Ovis aries: one gene and its partners. The protein of the gene in region 1 interacts with the protein of each later gene in a biochemical or structural test. Links are inferred from orthologs where the notes say so. Each region holds a gene or a part of one and is shown in the gene's direction. Other genes may lie near its edges.

Region 1 (5,571 bases):
GTGGGAGCTCGGTCAGGTTAAGAGATTTGCCCAAAATGACCAGCTTGTGAGTTGGAACCAGGATTGACTTAGCTCTGTGTGCTTCTAAAACCTGTGATCTTTTTTCATTTTTACAACACTGCCACAGGTCAGTTCATTTCTTAGTATTCCCCTGAAGGGTAAAGTGTAGAAATGCTCCAGAAGGTATTAGGCTACTGCAATTTCAAACATCCAGTTAAAATAAAATACTGTAACCTGGGTGAGATAAAAAAAAAAAATTAGAGGCATATCCTATCAGTATAGTTGGGGACCAAAAATGACTAACAAGGCTCCAGGCAGTGATAAGACTTGGAGATAGAGCATGGGAGGAATGACATGTCCAACCTGAAGTTTTATCACTAGAAGGTTAAATACCTTTCAGTTACCTTACTAATGCAGTTCCCTTTACATTTTTACTTCTTAAAAGTTCCTTTTTCAGAGGGAACAGACCTGCCCAAATTGAGGACCAAATCTCAAAAAAGGCCTCCCTACTCACCTGGATGTCTGAAATGCCCTGGACCTGCAGCTAGGGGTGGGGTGGGGGTAGGGGTCATAGGAGACAAGGGCTATCCCTAAAGCAGTCCATCCCAAAGAGAGGATAGGCATTAAGAGGCCAGGATGGTGCTAAACACTTTGCACACATTACCTCATTCAATTCCTACAACCCCATGAAGTGGGTCCTACTAGTATCTCTATCCTGCTGCTAAGTCGCTTCAGTCGTGTCCCACTCTGGGCGACCCCATAGACGGCAGCCGACCAGGCTCCCGCGTCCCTGGGATTCTCCAGGCAAGAACACTGGAGTGGGTTGCCATTTCCTTCTCCAATGCATGAAAGTGAAAAATGAAAGTGAAGTCGCTCAGTTGTGTCTGACTCTTCACAACCCCATGGACTGCAGCCTATCAGGCTCTTCCGCCCATGGGATTTTCCAGGCAGGAGTTCTGGAGTGGGGTGCCATCACCTAAGAGACTCTTACCGTTTAGTGCTTGCCCAGAGTCACTAGTTGCTCTCTGTGCCAGGGCAGATTTGCACTCTTATTGTGTTTCAGGCACTCTTCTAGGCATCTTACATGTATCCACTCATTGTTGTTGTGCTAGTCACTCAGTGGTGTCCAGCTCTTTGTGACCCCAAGGACTAGAGCCCATCAGGCTCCTTTGTCTATGAAATTCTCCAGGCCAGACTACTGGAGTGGGTTGCCATTCCCTTCTCCAGGGGATCTTCCTGACCCAGGGATGGAATGTGGGTCTCACCGTCTGAACCACTAGGGAAGTCCTTGACTCCTTAAATCCTCATAACAACTCTATGAAATAGGTGCCATAATTATGCCATTTTACAGATGTTAAAGTGTTAAATAACTTATTCAACTCAAATAGGGAGTTAGACCAGGAAAGGAATTCAGGAAAATTTCTGGCCTCAACCCTTAGCCTACATCACAATCACCTGGAGGGCTTTAAGATTCCGACTTTGGGCCCCAAGCGGAGAGTTTCTAATTCTGTAGGTTTTGGGAAGTACTTGTGAATTTCTATTTCTTCAAGTTCCCAGGTGATGCTGTTATTGCTAGTCTGGGAAGCAGGCTTTGAGAACCAGTGCTCTCGTTAGCTCTCTTAATCGCTGCGCAACAAATACCAATGGCCACCAAAGTCCGTGTCTGTGTTTAATTCCTTTTGAGAACCATTTGCAAAAACAAAATTAAAAAAATAATTCCCAGAATTTCTAAGGAGATTTATTCTCTGTCCCCCTCCCCCCCTTAAACTTTGAGTTAATCAAGTCAAATGAGGCCACAAGTGTGTCCTTTAACCAAGAGCGCTGGGCTATGGAGCGCCTTTTAATACTTGTGCCCATCATCGCGGAATCCGAGGGAGGAGGCGGCCACGTGCGCGGGGAGACACAGCGGCCCAGGTCCCCGGTTCTCAAAAAATATCCCGTCTCGGCCCCGGGGGCGAGGACGACAAAATGACCTGACCACGGGGACGGCCGCACCCCTAGAGGCCCCGCTCCTCCGTGGTGGCAGCCTGCCGGCCCCTGCAGTCTTATTTACACGTCCCTCCGCTCCCTCAGCCCACCGCGGGACGATCTCGCACCTCTCCTCCACCCTCGGGAGCTGAGTCAAGGTCAGCAAAGTTCTCCGAAGGCGAGGGGAAGGACAGAGAAGGGTTGAGGAGAGGTCTTTCCGAGGGTGGGGGAGGTGGGGGAGGTGGGGGGCGCCCCCTCCCGGGGTCCCCGCGGCCATCTTCCCCGCGAGCCGCACCTCGCGGGCCGGGCGGGGCGGTCAGGGGCGCGGCCCCGGGGCCCCGCCCCGCCCCGGACTCTCGGGAGCGCGGGCCTCGGGCGCACTGCTCGGACGCACGGATCGCTTGGAGCGCAGCCGTCCTCTGCAAGAGCCGCGGGTGAGCGGGGCGCGGCCCGGGTCGGCGGGAGCGGGGTTCGCGCCGCGCGCTCGGCGGAGGGGCCGGAACAGGACGACAGGTGTGGCGGCGCGGGCAGCCCGGCCGAGGGGGCGGTAGGCGCGGGAGCCCAGGACCGGCGGGACCCTGGCGCGGCCCACACACGCGGCAGGTGGAGCCGAGGCTGCCCGCGTGGCCGCCGCGCGACCTCCCGCGCCACAGCCCGGCCCCTCGGGCCCCTATTCCGGAGCGCCGGCGGAGCCCGGGCTGCGTGGACGCGCCCCCGGGCCCCGCGCCCGCGTCCGGGCGGGGACCATTTTCACAAAGTATTTCTCAAAGGGTTGACGGTTGCGGTTTCAGCCCTAGGGTAAACGGTTGCTTCACAAAGTGAAACTCTCCGTCTTCTGGGATCCCGCGGGCTTCCGGGACGCCCCGAGGAGTTCCTCGGCGGACAGCCCCCCATTACCCCGGTTCCGGCCCGGCCCGGCCCCCTGCCTGCAGCCCAGACCCCTAGCCAGCAGCTGCCCCGCCCGGCCCCGCCCTTCCCCTCCTCTGTGCTCCCCGCCCCTGCCCTCCTCTGCCCTACCCTCCGCCCGGGCTCCGCGCCCCGCCCCCGGCGGGCCACGCCCCTGGCCACACCCCTCTCCTGAGCTCCTCCCCCCGGCGCCGCGCTCCCCACCGCCCGGGCCCCGCCCCGTGGTGCCTGGCCCCGCCCCGTGGTGCCTGGCCCCGCCTCGGCGCTCCCGCCCCCCGGCGCCGCGCCCCCCGCCACCCCCTCGGCGCTGGGCTCGCCCGGCCCGCGGTAATTGCAGGTTGGGCGGTGACTTATCGTGGCGCCCGCCCGGCCGGTTCTTAAGCGGCAGCGCGGGGCGGGCGCCGAGTCTCGGGGCGGCGGCAGCGGCGGGAGCTGTGGGATCGGTAGGAGGGCTGCTGGGCACGCTCACTGGGCTTCCTCCGCCTGCAGGTCGGGAAAGGGCGTTTCAGCTGCTGCTGGAGAGCGTGTTTCCAAGGAAGGCGAGGAAACCCGTCCGGAACCGAAAATGCCGAAACCGGTAAGTCCCTGGGTGTGTGTGGGCAAGGCGGGATGTGTTGAGCACGGTTTTCAAGCGGAGTTATCTGGGCAAGGTTTGGGGCTTTTTCGGGTTTTTTTGGGGGGGGGCGGAGGGAAGAATAGAGTTCTTTTCTAGGCGGACGAGAGGCCAGGAGCAGGGAGGGGATCGTCTCCTCTCTTTCTCCCTCGTCATCCCTTAGTGGAACTCTTGGAGAAAACAAGATTGCGATGCTTTTTTCTCTACGGTCCTTTTGTTTGCGAGCCCCCTCCGCCGCCGAGCCTTGGGGGTTAGGATCTTTGAGAAAAATCAGAATGCCTTTTAGGCGGCTTCGGACGGTGGAAAAGCCCTGTCCTAAGACAACCTGGAAGTTTCTTTCCTGAAGAGGAGCCTGAGTCGCAGGAGAGGCAGGTGGCTTCCCACGGCGCGCGCCCGCTGCCTTCCCGGGTCTGGGAGCAGGCGCGCCCCAACTCCTCCCCTGGCGCTCTCTTTTAAAGGGGGGGGGTGGGGGGCACTCTCTCTGGGGGCAGCCTCGTTCCAGTTCATCCTACTGAAGCCGTGCTCTGTTAACCCGGGAATTTGCTGGTGACAGCAGGATTCCTATTTCGGAGAGGGCTTTGGTAATGAACTTGAATTGCAGATGAAGGCAGGCAGCCCTGGAGTTTGATAAGCAGGCTCCTGGCGCACCTCCGAAACATCAGCTGACCCCCTAGCGCTGCTGCGCCCGCACCTCTTACACCCACTTTCCCCGAATCTGATTTGTGTCGCCTGAATCTCTCTCGGGTGGGATGGTGGCCAGCCTGGGCTTCACACGGCTTTCATTTAAGTTGGGCGAACAAGGCAGCTTTTTTGTGAGCAGCATTTCTTAGCAAGTGGTATCTGTTCTACCAGCTTGAACACAGGTGAACTGGTGACCAGATAATTGGGGAGGAGATAATTGAAGATTTTTGGAGTTTTGAATCCCAGTGGCGAGAATATCTGGATTCATTGAAAATTACAATAAAAGATTCCTATGAAAATACACCCCATACATAAAATACATAACTTCATATACCTATGGAGTTTATGAGAAACCTTCTAGTTTTTCAAACGAGTTGTTTCTGTAGTGAGTGCTTATGTGTTTTGTTTTCTACCATCACATTTTAGATTCTCTGAAAGGAGTACTTTATAAGTTTTGTTTTACTGTTAGGTTAAATAAATTACTACCTTCATAGGCTAACAGATTGAGAAGCCAGTAGAGCTTTCGCCTCAGTTACATCATCAAGATGATTCATTCACGATGCAGACAGTTTTTTTTTCCTACACTGAATTCTTCTTTTCATTTCCAGTTGGTAGTTGGCACATGACCTTCAGGCTTTACAGTTCCTGTGGTATAAAACGGACCTAAACATAGTGCTTTACTCAGGGCATAGCCCTGTTCTGGTTTACTCAGAGCAGTGATTAGGAACTTAACCTTTCCCGGTGTGTGGCTTTCACTAAAGAAATGATGTTGAGAGTTCAGCTTTTAAAATATCGCTCAGATAACAGTCGGTATCCCTGTCTCCTGTCAGTCACTACTTTTGTTTCTCATAAAGATCTGTAATTTGCTTTTGTTCTTTTTCTGGCGTTCGTGTTTTTTTGGTTTGTTTTTTGGTAGTGGAGTTCACATGACGTGCACTTGACCATCTCAGTGTTTTTTAAGCGTATAGTTGAGTGGCGTTAAGTACGTGCACATTGCCGTGCAGTGGTCACCACCGTGCACCTCCAGAACTTTTTCCTCGTCCCAAACTGTGCCCTTTAAACACTAACTTCCTTCTCCCCACTCCCTCCAGCCCCTGGCAGCCGGCCCTCTCCTTTCTGTCTCTCTGCCTTTGACTCCTCTCGGTGTCCCACATGAGTGAGATATGCACAGCGTTTGTCCTCCTGTAACTGGCTCACTCCACTTAGCACGATGTCCGCAGAGTCCACCCTTGTGCCATGTGTGGGAATGGCCTTGCTTTTTAAGGCTCTGTCTTTCTTTCTTAGGGCAGGTATGTTTTTATCTCATTTGGCTTTAAAGTTCCTTTACGATGGACCAGAAACTTAACAAGGTTTTTCTGACAAAGTAGTTGTTGAATTCTTTAAGGAAGGATAGTAGTGGCCAT
Region 2 (5,100 bases), on another chromosome or scaffold:
CTGATAATCCCCATCCTCACTAGGGGGAAAGCTGTGGCCCCGAGAAGCCCCCAGCCTTGCTCTTGGCAGTGTGGTGTGGGAAAGGGAAAGTGCTAGTCGCTCAGTCCCACCTGACTGTGGTCTGTAGCCCACGAGGCTTGTCTGTCTGTGGAGTTCAAGGGCATGGGTCACCATGCCCTTCTCCAGGGGATCTTCCTGACCCAGAGATGGAACCCAGGTCTCCTGCATTGGCAGGCAGATTTCCTACCCCTGAGCCACCAGGGAGGACCCAGTGTGGGAAGACAGCTGAAATCTGGACTCCACTTGGCTGCTCCTCTACCTTCCCCTGACTCCCCCAGCACCCTTCTCCCCCGACTCCCAAGTCATCAACCCTCTCTCTTCCTGGCTGGGGAGGAAGGGCCCTGGGAACCTCCATGACTGCAGCCTCTGATCAGAGGGTGTTCCCCCTCCCAAGTGCATGTAAGTCTGCGCGTCCCCAGCCACTGCCTCCTGCCCAAAGCTGGGCAGCCCACGGCTCACAGGTGAGCGGGTGCAGTGGAGGGTGAGTCAGGGTCCCTGTGTCCCCTGCCCAGCCACTGTGGGAGGGCTGGACGAGAGGTGTGCCTGCCCAGTCCAGGGCAAGGAGAAAGACGTACCCTGACCTTAAGCTATGAGTTCAGAAGAAACCCACCCAGGCTGACCTGAGAGGGAATAGCCCCCTTTGCGGCCAGGTGGGGTGTCTACCCTGAGCAAGGCCTGGGAGGGTGACCCCAGGCCGTGTCCCTGCCCTCTGACCCCACCTGTCGCCACCAGGTTCCCCCTTGGCTGGGGGACGGCACGCCCAGGACTCTGCCCTGAGCCCTGGGGCCCCCTCCATCCCCACACTGGCCAGGAGGAGTTGGGGTTCTTTCGCAGCTGGTGCAGGTGATAATCATAACCAGGGCGTGGTCCCAGTTCTGTTGACACAACCATCACCTAGGAAGCATTCGAAAAATACTGATTCCTAGGCCTGTCCCAGACCCACGTAGATAAACACCTTGGTGTCAAAGCCCAGGGATCTGTATTTCTAACCAGCATCCCGGGTGGTTGGGAGGCAGCTGCCTGGAATTTCAACCCTGTCTACAACAGCGCTTTTTTCAAACAGCTCCTTACTCATCAGTGGTTCTTGGGATTAATTAAGTAGGCACCTTTCTTCCTTTTTTTTTTTTTTTCAACTTTTTATTTTGTATTGGAGTGTAGGCGATTAACAATGTTATAACAGTTTCAGGTGAACAGCTTAGGGGCTCAGCCATACATATACATGTATCCATTCTCTCCCAAACTCCCCTCCGGTCCAGGCTGCCGCGTAACACTGAGCAGAGTGCCCTGTGCTGTGCAGGAAGTTCCTGTCAGTTCTCCACTTTACATATGCAGTGCGCACATGTCCATCTCCAGCTCCCCAGCCGTCCCTCCCCCATCTTTTTAATCAATCTGAATAGGAAATATCAAAGAGCCTTGCGATGTAGTAAAGGCAAGTTGTTTTGTTAAATGCTAGTCTGAGGCTGCTGGGTTGCCAGAATGTCCGGTGTACTATAGTGGGGGGCAGTCAAGAGACTTAAACACTGAGCTTGGGGAACAAGGTCGAGTGGTCTACCCAAACCCACGACCCCCGCCTTCCGCGCCCCCCTCCGTCCACAGCTTCTGACTCACCTGCGCTCTCCTCTTCCCATCTAGGTCCCTTGCCTGAGCCCATTACCAACGGGGAGATCGAGAAGGTAAAGGCAGAGCCCTGATGCTTCTCGGGCTCAGTCCTGGGGCTGCGGGAGGTGGGGGAGGAGGCGTGGTTAGGAGGAGGACAGGGTCTGGTTCAGGTGGAAACCTCGTGTCTCCTGGCAGCTGTCTCCTGAGCCCCAGGCCGTGTAAGGGCCCCCGCTTGGGGCCGAGGCAGAGGGGACGGGGCCGCCTGGCCAGGCCCTCCGCAGCCACCATCCTGGGTGATGGGCCCCGCCTCCAGCTCCCCACCACACAGGAGGCCATTCTTCCCCCCAAGAACAGAGCGGCAGTGTCTGCCCGCCGCCTGCCCAGGCCCTGCTACTTCCAGTCTGGGTTGGGAGAACAAAGCCCCTCCTACCCAGGCCGAAGGGAAGAGGAGGCAGTGGGGGCCGGGGGAGAGATGGTGCAGCCCAGTGCCAGCTGGGGCCACAGGAACCCAGGCAGAAGCGGAGTGCCCAGTTGCAGCCCAAGGCCTGGGCTCTGGGACAGCGCCCTCAGGGTCAGACTATGGGGTGAGAGGGCTCCTCGGGGTCTGCTCTAAGGCTTCCTTTCCCTGGGGTCTCCTGCCGGGGTCGGGGGGTTGTGCAGCAAGAAGGCCCTGAACCACCTGAGCCTTCAGTCACTTTCCCTGTGGGTCTCTCACTCTCCCCCACCTTATTCCCTCGAAGCCCTTCTTGGCTGCTTGAGGGTTGATTTCAAGAATCCGGGGTCAAGTCCAAGAAAACAAGTCAGGTGGGCTGTAGGAGACTCAGGGGGCATCACGGGTGTTCCCCACACCGAGCAGTCTCCCGGCACCCCCACGCCCCAGGAGGCCCCTCTGTGGTCACTGTGCCAAGGAGGAGTCAACTCCAGAGGCTGCCTGGGAGGACAGGGGCGGTGTGAGCCACCCAGCTAGTCCCATGAGGGATGGTCCCACTGCCCTGGATGGTGGAACCTGGCTGCCCTCTGATCCTTGGAAGAATGTGAAAATGTAAATCCCCGCGGGGCCCTGGCAGGCTCAGGCAGGCTCTGGGGTGGATGGCAAGGCTCAGACCGAGGCCCCGTCTTCCCCGGGAATGCCCTTCGTAGCTCAGGCCTGCCCACCCACATGCCTCCTCTCCGTACCAGGAGAACAGTCCTGAAGCCCTGGCCGAGACGGCCTCCGAGAGCCCCGTGCCACCCCTGGCAAGAACCGCCTCCAGTGACACCAGCGAGGAGGTAAGGCTGGGTGGGTGGGGGGTGGCCCCGGGTGACAGCAAGTCAGGCGTCGCTCACTCCTGGCACACCAGCCCGCCGTGGAGGTCACACGCTGAGTCACGTTCTGTTCTCGTGACCTGGCTTCCCCACACATGGCCTCAAGGGAGCACTTCGCCGAGGCACTGAGGCCCGCTCTCTTGCTCCTCTTTGCAGCTGAATTCCCAAGACAGCCCCAAGAAACAGGACTCCACAGCACCCTCGTCTACCTCCTCCTCGTCCTCTGACCCCATCCTGGACTTCAACATCTCCCTGGCTGTGGCCAAAGAGAGGGCCCACCAGAAGCGCATCAGCAAACGGGCCCCGCAGATGGACTGGAGCAAGAAAAACGAACTCTTCAGCAACCTCTGAGCCACACCCCCTGCACCAGCAAAGCCCAGTCCCACACCCAGCCAACTCCCTCTCCCCCACTTACCCCCAGATCAGCACACAAATCAGCACCAGCATCTCCTCTCTCGGCAAATCTGATCTTTCTAGAGAACCATACTCTTCCCTTACCTCCGACAAGGTGACTGTTTTTCTGTCCTGCCCCAGTTAAAAAGCAGACTCTGTGCCCCTCCTCGCTGGGTGCTTCAGCCCACCTGCAGTCCCCCTGCCACTGTCCTGGGACGTCACTGGGACCTCCATCGAGCAAAGATCCTAAGACTGGGCGAGAGGTCACCTTCCCTCCTGACCCCAAGTGATGACCAGGTCTGGGATCTACCAGGGAAGGATTCTGACCACAGCAACATCCTGGAGTGGACTGGGGCCACCATCCTCAGAGCTGTGACTTGGGCATCTTATTTTTGATTTTTAAGTGCAGTACTACAGAGTTTAGAAGGACTTTCAATTCTTGATTAACATGATTTCCCAGGTTGTTGCATCCGGGACGTAGCAGTGGCCTTACCCTTCCTTCAACTTTTTTCTGCCCCACCCCCCACCCCCCCAGAGACCTAGGCAACATGGGGAGGGTTTGGCCACCCCCTGCCCAGCCCTGAGCCAGACACAATTGTAAGGAAATTCTTACCCGAAATTCAACTAGTTTCTCCAAACCACCTTGGCCTCTGTGTGTTCCTTTGCAGCTCTGTCCATGCGTGTCCCCAGAGTGGCCTCGGGCTGAGAGGATGGTCTAGGGCTCCCTAGGACCCCAAGCCCGGAGCCAGAAGTGGGGTGGCTTTAACCAGAGGGCCTTGAGCCTGTAGCCGCTGGGTGGCTAGGCCATGCGTGGGTCCTGTGGGAGGACCCGCCGGGGCCCCTGTGTGCTTGGCTCACTAGGGCTGCCCTACAGGGATGACCAGCAGGGAAATGGGGAGCTTAGGGCCCACGTGCGCAGAGGGAGGGCTCTAAGACCCACCTTGGATCCCAGGAGCGTTCAAAGAGTGAATCCACAATGGAGCCAGACTTGGAGACGGAAGGCTTGGCTTTAATCTTTCTGCCCACAGCCAGGGAGGTGCAGATGCCCAGGCATGGCCCAAGCTGGTGTCCCTAACCCCCCCAGATACTCTCATCTTACTTGGCTGTGGACCTGACTGGGGATGGGGAGGACAGACCTGGCCTGCTGGGCCCTGGGACATGCTTGTGGCAGGTGGGGTGGAAGGGACCTTCCAAGGCTGAAAGGCCCTGCTCCTCCACGGGAGGTCCGGGTCTCTATGCTGCTGACCCAAGGGCATCCTGGACAGCTGCCAGCATGGCCTGCAGGGCCCAGTTCATGGGCTGTCCTCCACCCCACCCAGAGGCCACTCAAGCCAGACTCCTGGGACTGAGAACAAGCAGGGAAGGTCACTATCTGATGACCACTAGAGCTGTTAAGGTTAGAATTCCACCACTGGTAAAGAGAAACCTTCCAAAACCCTTATCACGGCACCAACTGCAGCAGTTAGGCTGGGCCTGGCCTGACCCTACTCACCCTCGCCCCCACCCTGACCTCTGATGGAGGTCCCCGCAGGTGTGCCAGCCCCACCAGGCCCTCCCTACCTCACCTGCTGGGTGGGGATGCCCTAAGGACTTTTGACTCTGATTAAGCTGGCACAGGTGGCTCAGAGGCAACTGTCACTGAGGGGCCTGGCACCTCAGCAAGCAGTTTGTGTGTCAGGTTCAGGCATGTTTCTTTAATGGTTTTATTTATGGTTGTGCAGGGTCTTCATGCGACGGGGGCTT
Region 3 (5,624 bases), on another chromosome or scaffold:
ACATGGACTGTAGCCCTCTGGGCTCCTCTGTTCATGGGATTCTCCAGGCAAGATTACTGGAGTGGGTTGCCATTGCCTTCTCCAGGGGATCTTCCTGACCCAAGAATCGACCCCGAATATCCTGCATTGCAGGCAGATTCTTTACCGACTGAGCTGTAGGAGAAGCCCTTGCAATTCTTTGAAGGTCTATATATCCAAGAGTGGAAGTGCAAAATCACTCAATTCTATGCTTAACTTTTTGAGAAACCACCAAACTCTTTCCTACAGTGGTCGCACCATGTTATATTCCTGCCAACAGAATACAATGGCTCCGTTTCTCCACATCATCACCAACGCTTGCTACTTCCTGTTTTGTTTTGTGTTTTTGACGGTTGCCATCGTGATAAGTGGAAGTGCTATCTCACTGTGGTTTTGATTTGCATTTCCCTAGTGGCTCGTGATGTCGAGCATCTTTTTTCATGTCTATTGGCCATTTGTATAGCTTCTTTGGAGATCTACTTGAGTCCTTTGCCCATTTTTTATTTTTTAAAAAATATTTATTTGGCTGCACCGGATTTTAGCTGTGACATGCAGGGTCTTTTCATTGCAGCATGTGGGATCTAGTTCCCTGACCAGCGATAGAACCTGGGCCCCTGCATTGGGAGCGTGGAGTCTCAACTACTGGACCACCAGGGAAGTCCCCTTTGCCCATTTTTGAATTGAGTTTGTCATGGTTGAGTTGCAGGAATTCCTTACAATCTAGATATTAATCCCTTATCAGATATATGATTTGCAAATTCTTTTGATTTGGGTGTTAGTTTCTCTCTTGGCACCATGTAGGAAGTGGACTTTTGCAGAGGCGGGGCAAGGGAGGAGAGATTTAACTGGGGCAGGAACTCCAGGTGAGAAGGGGGCGTGGCCTCAAGGATGGGGCAAGTGGATGAACCCTGAGTGCTATCAAGGTCCTCAAGGAGGTCCCTCTCTGGAGCTCAGATCAGAGGCACGGGAGGCAGGTCACAGGCCTGAGAGAGGGAGCTGATGGAGTAGGAGTGCCCACCTCTCTCTCTCTCTTTCTCACTCACACACACACACACACACACACACACACACACACACACGTGTCCCTTCTCTTGGGATGAGGAGACCAGCTACCTGGAGGAAAAGGGCAAGAGGGATGAAGACAGGGATAAGAACTCAGTTGAAAGTATCCCCCTTGGCAGACGGTGGCTCAAGATTTAGCTGTCCCTGAAACGCTCCACCTCAGCACCGCATGCAAGCAATGGGAGAGCACCCGGAGATCTTCAAAGACTTGTTGTTCAGTCACTCAGTCGTGTCTGACTCTGTGACTCCTTGGACTGCAGCATGCCAGGCTCCTCTGTCCTTCCCTGTCTCCCAGAGTTGGCTCAAATTCATGTTCATTGAGTTGGTGATGCTATCTAACCACTTCATCCTCTGCCGCCCCCTTCTCCTGCCTTCAGTCTTGCCCAGCATCAAGGTCTTTTCCAATGAGTTGGCTCTTCACATTAGGTAGCCAAAGTATCGGAGCTTCAGCATCATTCCTTCCAATGAATATTCAGGGTTGATTTCCTTTAGATTGACTGGTTTGATCTCCTTGCAGTCCACGGGACTCTCAAGAGTCTTCTCCAACACCGCAGTTTGAAAGCATCAATTCTTCTGCACTCAGCCTCCTTTATGGTCCAATCCTCACATCTGTACATGACAACTGGAAACATAAGGAGCCTATAGAAGTCACTCTGGCAGCCAACAGAGAGCCCGGCACAAGTCCCCAGTAAATGTGGGCTCTGTTCACTGTCACAGTTTTACTCATCATAGGGGATCCTTCATTGTCACCCCCCCCCCAAATCGTTTATTTGCCTCCCAGGAACGTTGAGATCTCTTGTTAACTCTTTGAAGCCCTGCCCAGAAGTCTGCCCATTGTTCCCTCCTTGAAACGTCACCTCGAAATCCCACCCCTTTTCCTTCAAGGCCAGTGTGCAGATATCCCCATTAACTTCCTCTTTGGGAACAAAACAGCCTTTTTCACCTAAGTTCAACAGGAAGGGGAGATGTCTTTCACCCCTGCCCCCCTCCAGGCTTTCCAGTACTGAGAAAAAAGGAAGCTGCTTGCACTAGCGCTTCCTGTGGGTTGATCTGGGGACAAGGAGTGTAACCGAGGTTTGCCCTCTGAGACTCCTAGGAGACTCGCCAGCACGCTCCATTTTCCTGAGACCCTCACTGTGGACTCCCAGGGGGTGGCATAAAATATTCCCCTACCCTTCCCTCATCCTGGGCAAGGTGTGGCCCCTGGACTGCTGCATTCTTAGCTGCAGTGACGGTTCTTCCTTCCCCTGGAGGTCCTGCCTGTTCACCGGTGCACAGCTCTTCATTAAGGGAACTTCCGCCTCCAGGCTGAGCACCATGATGCCCTCAGGGCCACCGCCCAGGGTCTACTGGACTTCGCTCATCTTTCTGCTTCTTGCCTGCTGTCAGTTGCCCACAGGTGAGGCCCAGTGAGCTGGGGAGGGCTGGAGATGGGGGGTTGCTGGGGAGGGGAAGGAGAACAGTGCACCTCACACCCTGCTGCCCAGGGCTGCGGCAACACTTCTTTGACTCAGATCTGTCAGGGGGCTTCCCAGTATCCTTGGGGAAAAATGGTGGCTCCTTAACTCAGCCTTCAGGGCTCCCTGAGGCCAGGTTCCTGCCTTTCACTTGTTCCCTGCCCCCTTCACAGCATAGACACTTACCCACCCAAACACTCAAGTGAAAGTGAAAGTGAAGTCGCTCAGTTGTGTCCGACTCTTTGCAACCCTGTGGATTGTGGCCTACCAAGTTGCTCCAACCATGGGATTCTCCAGGCAAGAATACTGGAGTGGGTTGCCATTTCCTTCTCCAGGAGATCTTCCCAACCCAGGGATTGAACCCGGGTCTCCCGCACTGCAGGCAGACGCTTTACCATCTGAGCCACCACTCATGCCTGCACTTATTCGCTCCCTGCTCCATCCGGACTCATGACCTCTGCCTATGTTCTTCAGTCTGCCAGGATCCCTCTTGCCTTTCACTTGGCTAAATCCTCCTTGACCCTTTAAAAGAGACCGTAGTGGTTCCCTCCAGGAACCCTTTCCTGACTCACTTCCTCCTGGCCTCCTTCTCAACTCTCCTTGGTTCCTGATCCATCATCTGTCTTTCCCACTAAACTGAAACACCGCCGAAGGCAGAGACCTTCCTATCTTGGCTGGTGGGAGTGGGGGGGGGGGTGGCGTTGAAGGATGGAACCTGCAGCTGGGTGGGCTGGGGGGCACTGGAGCCCCCAGCAGAGACTCTGTTCATGCAGGTGCCCAGGGACAGACGTACCAGTTACGAGTGGAACCGAAGGACCCAGTGGTGCCTTTTGGAAAGCCCCTTGTGGTAAACTGCAGCTTAGATTGCCCCAGCCCTGGATTAATCTCCCTGGAGACAGCCCTCTCCAAGGAGCACCACAGCAGGGGCCTGGGCTGGGCAGCCTTCCGCCTCACCAACGTGACTGGTGACACAGAGCTTCTCTGCTCTGGCCTCTGCGATAAGTCCCAGGTGGTGGGTTTCTCTAAAATCACAGTGTATGGTGAGTAGGCGTGGCTGGAGGTGGGATGGCCTTGGGCAGTGGTGGGGGTAGATGACCAATGGTGCAGAGGAGCAAGGTGGGGCTGGGGCCCTGAATTTGCACAAATGGACCAGGACACTCAGTCAGAGCTCAGAACTGGGGGTGTGTGTGTGAGAGAGAGAGAGAGACAAAGTCAGAGATAGAGGGGTACATCTCAACTGCATGCCAAAGCAGCAGCTGTGAAACCAACTCCTTTGGTTCTCAATAAGCATTTTGTATGTGTGCATGCATGCTAAGTTGCCTCAGTCATGTCCAACTCTTTGTGATCCCATGGACTGTAGCCCGCCAGGCTCCTCTGTCCATGGGATTCTCCAGACAAGAGTACTGGAGTGGGTTGCTGTGCTCTCCTCCAGGGGAATCTTCCTGACCCAGGGATCCAACCTGCATTTCTTGAGTCTCTGGTATTGGCAGGTGGGTTCTTTACCACTAGTGCCACCTGGGAAGCCCAATAAGCATTTTAAAAATGATAGTTCAGGAATTCCTTGGTGGTCCAGTGGTTAGGACTCCAGGCTTTCACTGCCAAGGGCCTGGGTTCAATCTCTAGTCAAGGAACTAAAACCATGGAACACTCTCAGTATGGCCAAAAAAAAGGACATGTCTTTTACTCAATTTTTAAAATTTATTTTAATATAGTTATTTATTTATCTTGTTTGGCTGTTAGGTCTTAGTTGCAGCCCACGGGATCTTTCTTCGTGGTGCACAGACTCTAACTGTGGCACGTGGGCTTCAGCAGTTGTGACATGCGGGCTCTGGAGCGCATGTGGCTCTCGGGCTTCGTTGCTCTGTGGCATAGGGAATTTTAGTTCCCCAACCAGGGATTGACCTCGTGTCCCCTGAATTGCAAGGCAGATTCTTAACCACTGGACTACCAAGGAAGTCCCTACTTTTTCTTTTTTGTGTGTGTATTTACTTATTTATTTGGCTGCACTGGGTCTTAGTTGTGGCAGGCAGGAGGTAGGACCTAGTTCCCTGACCGGGGATTGAACCCCTGTGCATTGGGAGGATGGAGTCTTAGCCACTGGACCACCAGGGAAATCCCTTACTGCTTTTATTTTTATGACAGGTAATAAATTCATGTGGTTCCCAAATTTTAAAGTATTTAAAAAAAAGGGGGGGTCAGTGTCAAGTCTCCATTTACCTAGTGTGGGCTGTGAGTGGCTGTTGTTTTTAGTGTGGACGCATAGGTGCTCACCCAAAAGCCCTTATGAAAGCCTGGGCTGGGGAGGTACACTTATGAGCCTCATTTCACAGAGAGGAAACTGAGGCTCAGTCACTTGCCAGGGTCCGTGAGCAGAGATGCCTGGAGTCCAGGTCTCAAATCCCTGCTCTTCACAGCTGAAGTCTTCCTCTCTGGACCTGATATCCCCCTGTTACCAGTTTCTTATGAATCCTTCCAGTTTCTCTGCATTTAAAAGAAGACAGGGAGTTCCTTTGCTGTCCAGTGGTTAGGACTCAGCACTTTCACTGCTGAAGGTCCAAGGTTCAGTCCCTGGTCGGGGAACTAAGATCCCACAAGCCACTTGGTGCAGCCAAAAATAAACAAACAAAAGAACCCAATAGACTAGGAAATAGCTGAGTACATCACTCAGGGTGCCTATGGTTTTGTGAGGCCTCAGAAAAGTGTAGTGTATATCTGTAGCTGTGTGTATGCTCTTCCTGTGTGTGCACCAGTGTCTGTATTCATGGTTGTGTACCTATATGCCTGTGAGCATGTGGATCTGAGTGTCCTTATCTTTGTGTGAGTGTACTTGTATGTCTACAAATGTGTTTGTATGCTGTGTGTGCCTGCGTGTGTCTCTGGACTTGTACCTTTTAAAAATAACCTTAATTAATTAATTTATTTATTTTTGGCTGGGCTGGGTCTGCATTGCTTCAAAAGCTTTTCTCTCGTTGTGGTGAGCAGGCCTATTCTCTGGTTGGAGTGCTCGGGCTTCTCATGGCTTCTCTTGTTGCAGAGCCCAGGCTCTAGGGTGCACAGGCTTCCGTAGTTGTAGCTTGCAGGCTCTGG

Evidence for each region.
Region 2: the proteins of EZR (region 1) and NHERF1 form a complex in vitro, tested with the Homo sapiens proteins (2 studies listed by BioGRID and IntAct). The link is inferred for Ovis aries from reciprocal best matches to the Homo sapiens genes EZR and NHERF1.
Region 3: the proteins of EZR (region 1) and ICAM3 form a complex in vitro, tested with the Homo sapiens proteins (2 studies listed by BioGRID). The link is inferred for Ovis aries from reciprocal best matches to the Homo sapiens genes EZR and ICAM3.

Annotation. Positions count from the first base shown.
Region 1 is NC_056061.1:82,935,697-82,941,267, reverse strand, and holds the start of EZR (ezrin), read left to right. Parts: upstream 1-1,870; 5' UTR 1,871-2,126; intron 2,127-2,318; exon of another isoform or gene 2,319-2,481; intron 2,482-3,363; 5' UTR 3,364-3,439; coding exon 3,440-3,451; intron 3,452-5,571. UniProt on the Homo sapiens protein: Probably involved in connections of major cytoskeletal structures to the plasma membrane. In epithelial cells, required for the formation of microvilli and membrane ruffles on the apical pole. Along with PLEKHG6, required for normal macropinocytosis.
Region 2 is NC_056064.1:55,964,564-55,969,663, reverse strand, and holds the end of NHERF1 (Na(+)/H(+) exchange regulatory cofactor NHE-RF1), read left to right. Parts: intron 1-1,692; coding exon 1,693-1,733; intron 1,734-2,838; coding exon 2,839-2,928; intron 2,929-3,120; coding exon 3,121-3,315; 3' UTR 3,316-3,998; downstream 3,999-5,100. UniProt on the Homo sapiens protein: Scaffold protein that connects plasma membrane proteins with members of the ezrin/moesin/radixin family and thereby helps to link them to the actin cytoskeleton and to regulate their surface expression. Necessary for recycling of internalized ADRB2.
Region 3 is NC_056058.1:12,721,087-12,726,710, reverse strand, and holds the start of ICAM3 (intercellular adhesion molecule 3), read left to right. Parts: upstream 1-2,120; 5' UTR 2,121-2,397; coding exon 2,398-2,479; intron 2,480-3,310; coding exon 3,311-3,577; intron 3,578-5,624. UniProt on the Homo sapiens protein: ICAM proteins are ligands for the leukocyte adhesion protein LFA-1 (integrin alpha-L/beta-2). ICAM3 is also a ligand for integrin alpha-D/beta-2. In association with integrin alpha-L/beta-2, contributes to apoptotic neutrophil phagocytosis by macrophages.